2 linked regions of the Ovis aries genome follow. Each later gene encodes a partner of the first gene's protein in a complex. Links are inferred from orthologs where the notes say so. Each region holds a gene or a part of one and is shown in the gene's direction. Other genes may lie near its edges. The genes, in order: ATP2B1 and NPTN.

Region 1 (3,810 bases):
TACCTGTCTCTTTCCTACATTCTTAGGCTTACATCTCTATTTAGTTTGAAAACCTTTGGCGATATTGCAGCATAAAAGAGTAAAATTTTATGGAGAAGTCAACCCAAATGTAATGCCCCAAATTATTTTGGAATGTTCCCCCATGGTTAAGACCTAGGGAGAGATTGAGCCAGCAGGTCATGACAAGCCAAATGCTTTCTAATCTGTACACACACACACCCCGTTGTGTAACATTTCTGTTATAGAAATGTGAACTACCTTTGCATAATTTAGCATGGCTGTATTCATTTCTTTTGGAAAGCTTTAATTCCCGTTTTGTTCCTACAGATAAGAAACAAGATGGAGCTATTGAGAATCGCAACAAAGGTAAATTCAGGAGGTTAAAAGTACACTTAGCTTATGCTTACTATAGCCAAAACTATTTCTCTTGTGTACTGTATTCATCCAAAAGTAGGATTCTTGTAGCAGAGAAAATTAACAACCTGTATTACTTGGGTGTATGTCTCTCTGGTCAGTGCCTGACTCATGTTGCCTTAACATTTTTGATATAAGATTTTAATTATGGCATGTGGTAGTAAATTTAGAAAGCTCCAGATGTAGGTAACTTTAAACTTAGACATTTCAAGCATTTTATCATTGGTTACTATGTGATTGCTGGCAGAAATGGCATAAGTAACAAAATATGTAATGTGGATTTTTTGGCATCTATTTAAGTCTGTAAGCATATGTACATTTCTCGTTTGTATGGTCTCACATGATGTTCTACGTTATGGTTATAACTTATTGGGAGGAATTCATGGTGTTTGGAACGACACAGCACACAGGAGGAGAAATGATTGGGTGTTTAGCTCTTTCAGGACCCTGTATTTCTTCTTATGCCTCATCTCTATTTCCTACCACAGCATTCTCAAATCTGGTACAAAGTTTCAAAACCTAGTGTCACTATTGCCTTATTTTCTCTGGGTAGGCACAGACATACACACTAAGGTAAATGTTTAAATCTTTGTGTTTCTATAAGAAATTGATTCCCCCCCCCAACACACACACCAAATTGCTTGAAAATGTTAACATTATGTGTGCACTTCAACATAGCAAAAGCCCAGGATGGCGCAGCCATGGAAATGCAGCCTTTGAAGAGTGAAGAAGGTGGAGATGGTGATGAGAAAGACAAAAAGAAAGCAAATTTGCCAAAAAAGGAAAAATCCGTTTTACAGGGGAAACTGACGAAACTAGCTGTTCAGATTGGCAAAGCAGGTATGATATTATAAGAAAATAAGATGTTTTGTTTTAAAATACGCTGACTTGCTATTTAAAAATATCTTTTGACGTACTTAAGACTGGAAATCATTGCTTTGTGAGTGGAAGGGGAGTTAATAATATTTTAAGTTTTATCTACAGTGTACCTTTTGAGTTATTAGAGAGTCTCATAATATTTTGAAACTTGGGAACTGTTATCATCATTTTGTGTAGAGGGAGTGTCCTCTGTCAACTTGCTAATAAATAAATGGTCAGGTTAGGATTAGTGCCTAATCTACCCAATTCACAAGCCCATGAGCTTGTATCTGAATTTCTGGGCAAAATAGAGAGAGGGCTTACTCTATACAAATTACCGAGCTATATTTTAATAAAAAGAAACTTCACCACACATCTTCTCATCTTTTTATTGACTATGAAAAAAAAATTAGGTAATGTGTTTTTCTAAAAATTGCAGTTTACTTAAATTGAGTGGAATACTTACAGCATCGCCCTGGTGAGATTGAAGTTATAAATTAAGAGTCATCACTAGAAAACACCTGTTAAATAGAACTACTCTTCAGGGGAAAATAAAACATAGTGAAGAATTCACCTGCAGTGCAGGAGACTCGGGTTCGATCCCTTGGTCGTGAAGATCCCCTGGAGAAGGAAATGGCAACCTACTCCAGTATTCTTGCCTGGGAAATCCCATGGACAGAGAAGCCTGTTGGGCTGTAGTCTGTGGAGTCACAAAAGAGACATAACTTAGCGACTGAACAACAATTCGAGCCACTTCCATGGCATCATTCTGTTACTTCCTGGGATTATCTCAGAAAAAGTTAAGATTTTACCTGTGTCCTCAGAAAGCTTATTATCTAGGAGATATTTGCTTTCTGTAATATTTAGCCAAATGTTAATACTGAATCATGCAGAAGTGGATGGCTTTAAGGTGGTGATGGTGTTTTAATAGATGGCTTTAAGGTGGTGATGGTGTTTTAATAAACATCAGATTGGATTATTAGTTCCAGATATGTGGACATGCCTTATTTTGCAATATTCATTTATAAGGAGATTAAACACCCCACAAAATGGAAAGGTAAATGATTTGTAATATGTGATTAGCTCTTGGTTTTCTTAGTTAATAAATCAGTAAGGATAGATGAAAAAATTAATTTCAGTAATTTGTGTTTTTCATTAAAAAACATAGAGTTGAATATTTAATTCTAGGTCTCCCCATTGATCAGATCCTTACCAATTTCTCTTTTGTCATTAAGCAGCTTATGCTACACTTTTGGTATTTCCTTGTCATTGCTTGTTATTTTGTCTCAGCTTTAGCAAAAGACTGAAGATGCAGTTAAGTCTAGAAAAGAATCATAAACACTTTTTTCCAGTTCTCCTAGTCAGAAGCAGAACTTAAATCTAACAATGTCAAGGGATGAGTTAGGTGCAAAAGAGTAGGTAACAGTTTCTCAGAGAAATTAAATATCACCAAAGGAGTTCTGATTCTTCCAGTGGCTAATATGTAACTGACAGTGAGTCGTGTCTGGAATATTTAATGATTGCATTTTCCTTCTTTTTGTGTGCTGAAAGGTTTGTTGATGTCTGCCATCACAGTTATCATTCTTGTCTTATATTTTGTGATTGATACCTTCTGGGTTCAGAAGAGACCGTGGCTTGCTGAGTGCACACCGATTTACATACAGTATTTTGTAAAGTTCTTCATTATTGGAGTTACGGTTTTGGTGGTGGCAGTACCAGAAGGTCTGCCCCTTGCAGTCACTATCTCACTAGCTTATTCAGTCAAGGTAAGCGGAAAAGACTTATGCACGACTGCCCTTTTCCTTTTGGGTTCTGAAAGTTGGAGACTTCCCTAAATTTGCACTGCTTCCTTTAGAAATTCTGTTGTTGGTCCCCTCCTCCTCTCCCCAGTTGAAGATCTCTGCACCGAGGCCTATACATGCCTGAAAGGGCAGCCTTGACACAGAGCTAAGCAGAACTCCACTGGGAAAGTTCTAGCTTACGTTTCCGCATACGATAGTTAAGATGTCCAGTCCCCTTCTGTTTCCCATCTGTAAAATTGAAGTAAGCGTGTTTGTCATTTGCCTGTGGGACAAGAGCAGAGCGGTTGACCTGCCTCCAACAATCTCAGGCCTCCTTGTTGGACCCTCATGACCCCACGGTCCTGCCTTCACATGGGAGGCAGATTCATGTTTCTAAAAAATAATTCAGATCGTTTTTGTTTCTTGTGTAAAAACCCTCCAGTGGCTTCTCATCAGAATGAGATCCAGGGTCCCTCGCCGTGGCCTGCACGGCCTGCCTGGTCTGCCCAATCTCTCTTTCTTCTCCTGTTCATCTCCCACATCTTTCTCCCACTCTGGTCCAGCCTCACCAGCCTTCCTGCTGTTTCTCAAAAACTCCAGCCCTGTTCTCACTTTTGGACCTGTGTGCTCCTTTCTTTGAATCATCAGCTCTCTAACTTTACTCAGCTCTCTTCACATGTTACTGTCTCCGACCACTCCGTGTACAGTAATACAGTCCTTCTGTTCTCAAAGTAGAATGCTGAAAAAATGAGCTTGG
Region 2 (4,369 bases), on another chromosome or scaffold:
TACAGATTTTGATGATGAGGCAGGATGGTTGCATCCCATCAAAACTCCCATCAGCTGAAAATCCTGGTCTCACCAGGAGCCCTGTAGCCCTCCAGCCAGAGCTGTCTGCACAATGGCCTTTGTCCAAAGACACATGCCAAGCTTTTTATCACTCACCTGAGGTCTTGAAGGATAATGCTTCATTTAGGTCAACAATACGCCATAGTTGTAGCTTGCTAGAAAGCTCAGGCTGGAACCACCAGGTGTCTGGTTCACACTGAAAGCTTGAGACCACTTTGGCTTGAGTGAAGGTTATGGTGAATGCTCCTTCTTCCAGATTTTTCAAGTTTTCACTTCAAATTGAGTCAGGTCACCAGGACTGCTTACTTGGCCCCTCTCAGTTTCATTCCACAGACACTCCCCCGGATGTCTGCTCTGAGTCAGGGATGAGCTAAGACCCAGAAACTCCTTTAGCAACCAAGGACTGATGATGCTCAGGTTGTACCAAAAATATCCTTAGAAAGGGCATTCCCCAAACTTCCATCCAAACAGTAGTGACACTGCCAGAGCACCCAGCTGGTTCCTTTCCAATGGGTCGTTTTGCTGTGCAGTCATTTGCCCTCTTCCTCGCTCTTCTAATAAGCTGGGTTGTGAACTTCGTGATAGTAAGGACCACTTTTTCACGTAGGTTTCACGGCACACAGTAAGTACTCAGTAAATGTTTGCTGCACAAAAATACTTCTGAAGATATTTCGTATAGTTAATACATGTTGACTTCCTTGTAGAATTTAGTGCCCAAACTGCCTAACGAGCAATTAGTCTAGTTGATTTTCAGGCCTGAGATTCTAGGTAGTTAAAATAAGGCCAAAATGGGGGCGGGGGAATAGAAGGGCGAAGAAAAGGAGGACATTTCACGCAGAGGGAGATGAAGAAGCAGTAAAGCACAAGGTAATACCAGGCACGCGGAGTGCACCACTTAGCCTAGAAGGTTAATACAGGGGGTTAAAGTGGGAGGTTGAAGCCAGATGCGAGGAATAGGTCTAAGGTTAAAGTCCAGAAGGAAGTCCAGGAGGAAGAAATAATAGGAGTTTGATAGGGAACAATAAGAGTAAGGCCGGTGGTGCATTAAATTTTGCAGCCAAGACCTCCAACTAATGAAAGGCAGGATGGGCGGAGGAAATATATTCTCAAAGCTTCCTCTTATTTATGGGAGCTCCGACTTCGCAGAGGAATCAGCAGAACATAGAACCGTCGGTTCCCCAAGGCCAAGAAAGCCGGAGGAGCCCCGCCTCGAACCGTCACGTGGCCAGAAGCGCCCTTGGCACGTGACCCACCTCCCGCTAGGCCAATCAGCCTCTGCAGGGGCGGGGACGCGGAATCCGAGGGGCGGGGGATCGATTGAGCCTGCCTCCTCTCGCGAGCCTTGATGCTGTCGCTCCTCAGCCGCCCACGGCCCGGAGCGAAGGTCTCGCGAGGCTTGGGCGCTGCGGCGGTAGGAGGAGGACGGGGAAGGACGGAGCCCTGCCACGGCTGCCTCCCTCGCTCTCTCCCTCGCGCACTCGCCCGCCCCCTCCCTCCCTCCCCTCCCTTCCCCGGCCCCGGCTCCGGCCCCGGCCCATTCGCTGTTCCGTCTTCTGCAGGGAGGATGTCGGGCTCGTCGCTTCCCAGTGCCCTGGCCCTCTCACTGTTGCTGGTTTCTGGCTCCCTCCTCCCAGGGCCAGGCGCCGCTCAGAACGGTAAGCAGGGCGCCGGGGGCCGGCCGGGCGGGGGCTGAGGGACGGTGGCGGCCGGAGAGGGCATTTCGGGGCCGGAGGAGGTGGCGGAGTCCGGGGAAGGGGGCTGGTCGAAGTCTGAGGTGCTGCGGGCCCGACAGGACCAAATGCCGGTCGCGAGTTCGAAGAGGCGCGCGGGTGTGAGAACCAGAGGCGCCTGTCCGAGAGCTGGGGGCGTCCGATGAGAGCTTGAGGTGTTGCTAATTTAGAGGCTGCTCATCTTGGGGCTCGTCGCTCCGAGTCGGGGAGGGGTCCCCGAAGAAGCCGACCTGAGGAGCTGGAGTAGCGGGGGCGGATGAGGAAGGGGTGCAGTGTTTAAAGAAGGCTACACAAGACCGACATTTGTGTTTAAGGTGACAGAGAGTGGTATCAGGCTCCAGAGATGAACGGGGGTCCTGGGCGCTGGAGTCGTCCAAGGTTCTTCTGGGGCCCTGTAAGACTGGTGACATCCTTAAAAAATAATGAGACGTTGGGGGAAGGGAGTCCTGAAGAATACTGAGCAGAGTACTAGAGCCTTAAGGAGGGGGTAAGGAATCAGGGAGCCTTGGCTGTGGAGGTGGCGGGAAGGTGGGTGGAAAGCCGAGGTAGTGGGTTGACTGCAATAGGGGATCTGGAAAGAGGAGCAGCAGAAGCTGTAAACGAAGTGGGGGAAGAGGGCTGGGTTTGCTAAGGAGGGTGGAGTGTTGGGCATTCTAGGGTAGTGGTTGGGAGAGCAAAAAGGAGTTTCTAAATAAGGAGAGGAAAAACGAGCAGAGGATGGGGAGAAAGGGTTGAAACTGAGGTAGGGGGAATTATTTGTTAGAGAAATAAGGATGCCTGGCTATAGAAATGGAAGTAGGGGAAGACAGAAAATAAGGGAAGGGAGTAAAATGCAGGAAGCCGGGGGTGTAATGTTAGTTTGCAGTGTGGAGGATATATTAGGGAAGGGAGGAGCTGAGTTTTGGCAAGTGCTGTATGATATTGGTTGGGCCTTTCACACAGCTGAAACTGCAGTGGTGGGATTGAGGGCCGGCACTGGAGAGAGGGAGATGGAGGGAAGTGTGTTTTTAAGGTCGAAAAGTTTCAAAACAGAAGAGACATTATTTCTGAGGAACATAAAAGTAGTTCCTGGGATGTGTTCAGGGTACAGTGGAAAGGAGATGATTGAACTGAAGATAATTGAACTGGGTTTTGAACTGAAATCCCTTAGAGAAGATGGATACATGGTGGGAAGCATGGTGATGGGGGATCTAGACAAAAAAGATTCTGATTGTTAAAGATATGTGTTAAAATTCAGCTGCTGAATCAATCTTTTAGAGATGAGATTAGAAGTATTGTGAACCAGTTTCTGCTCTTGTGGAGACAGCCTTTAAGAAATTTCAAAAATATTTTTTCTAGGAAAAAAATTGTGAGGTTGAACTCATTCATGACTTTACTGGAAATTCTGTAAAAAACTGTAAAAAATTCTGAAAAACTGTAAATTCTTTTTGCTAATTCTTTGGTGTTTCTTTGTTGTTATGCTAGAATAGTTTAAAATTACTCTTGTTGGAATAGCTGAAATTAAAATGGCTTTCACTAAAAAATAAAATCAGTGATAAAGCTAATGGAGTTAAGCATTCTAAGGAGAATGCGTACTTAAAATGCTGAAGATTACACTGAAAATATATCAGTCAAGGTCGAAAAAGCATCAGTTAAATGTAAGTGTTTGTTGTACCAAATCATACAAATAAAATCTTATGTATGCTTCATGGCTTTGAATGATCACTGCAGGGGTCAGGAAGGAAACATTCTTCTATTTCTAGCATTGAATATGTGAAGCATATTGGGTATTTTACACTTCAAAGCATGAGGCCACTGTGGAAGGCAAGGTAGAGTTAGTCTGATTTGTCTCATCAGTTTTTAGTCTGTGTTACCAATAATTTCAGCTATTCAGTTTGTGGGAAAAGCAAGGTTTCATTAGGCACAATAGGCGAGAGATTTTGATCTTAACATGTTTAATCTCTGCGCTGGCACACAGCTTCTTAGAAAATTTATAATACAGTGAAATTGTAGTTTCTTAGCAACTAAAGCAAGGCTTTTGCATAGGCCTATGAAGACTCATCTGGCTATTCTCAGTGATATGTGTTCTAAATACAGCATAGTGCAGCCTTTTCCTTGAAATGAGCTTGAATTCAGTCACGTGACTCGTGAAGTGAAGCTGAGCTTGTAGTTGACCCAAATGAATGTAAATTTAATTCAAGAAAAAAAGGCTGTTTTTTGAGTTTGAGTCCATATAGGTAAGGATGCCTTTTTATAGCATGTCTGTAAGATTAAAATTTTCTATTGGTAATAGCTCTTCAGTAGTCTGACCTCATGTCTTGGGGTTTGTATTTTCTTATAGTGTTTCAGAAGTGGATACTGTGTTCTAGATGAACTTGAAAAGTTGGATTATCTATTTAAAATGATGACTTTAAAAAAGAAACCTCCCCAAACCTTGAAGTATTTCTGGTTTAAGTATGTGGTAGTTTAGATTGAGTGTAGATGCTTTTCAAAAGGTCTGTTGCATCATTCCTAAAGTGAAGAATTTGAATTAGATGACCCTTAAGGTCTCCTCTAGCTGTGATCCATGCCAGAGAGATTCAGGGCTTTTCATTCAGATA

Evidence for each region.
Region 2: the proteins of ATP2B1 (region 1) and NPTN are in contact, whole or in part, in a cryo-EM structure (PDB 6A69), measured with the Homo sapiens proteins. The link is inferred for Ovis aries from reciprocal best matches to the Homo sapiens genes ATP2B1 and NPTN. Residues at the interface, in NP_001353449.1 of Homo sapiens: Phe954, Asp955, Ile956, Asp957, Glu996, Arg997, Asn998, Val999, Glu1039, Gln1040, Leu1042, Trp1043, Ile1045, Phe1046, Met1049, Gly1050, Leu1052, Leu1053, Gln1056; in NP_036560.1 of Homo sapiens: Arg245, Ser246, Asn248, Arg332, Arg334, Pro339, Pro342, Phe343, Gly345, Ile346, Glu349, Ile350, Ile352, Leu353, Ile356, Ile357, Tyr360.

What each region holds. Positions count from the first base shown.
Region 1 is NC_056056.1:126,009,871-126,013,680, reverse strand, and holds part of ATP2B1 (plasma membrane calcium-transporting ATPase 1), read left to right. Parts: intron 1-327; coding exon 328-366; intron 367-1,092; coding exon 1,093-1,254; intron 1,255-2,823; coding exon 2,824-3,038; intron 3,039-3,810. UniProt on the Homo sapiens protein: Catalyzes the hydrolysis of ATP coupled with the transport of calcium from the cytoplasm to the extracellular space thereby maintaining intracellular calcium homeostasis.
Region 2 is NC_056060.1:20,255,381-20,259,749, reverse strand, and holds the start of NPTN (neuroplastin), read left to right. Parts: upstream 1-1,451; 5' UTR 1,452-1,624; coding exon 1,625-1,715; intron 1,716-4,369. UniProt on the Homo sapiens protein: Probable homophilic and heterophilic cell adhesion molecule involved in long term potentiation at hippocampal excitatory synapses through activation of p38MAPK. May also regulate neurite outgrowth by activating the FGFR1 signaling pathway.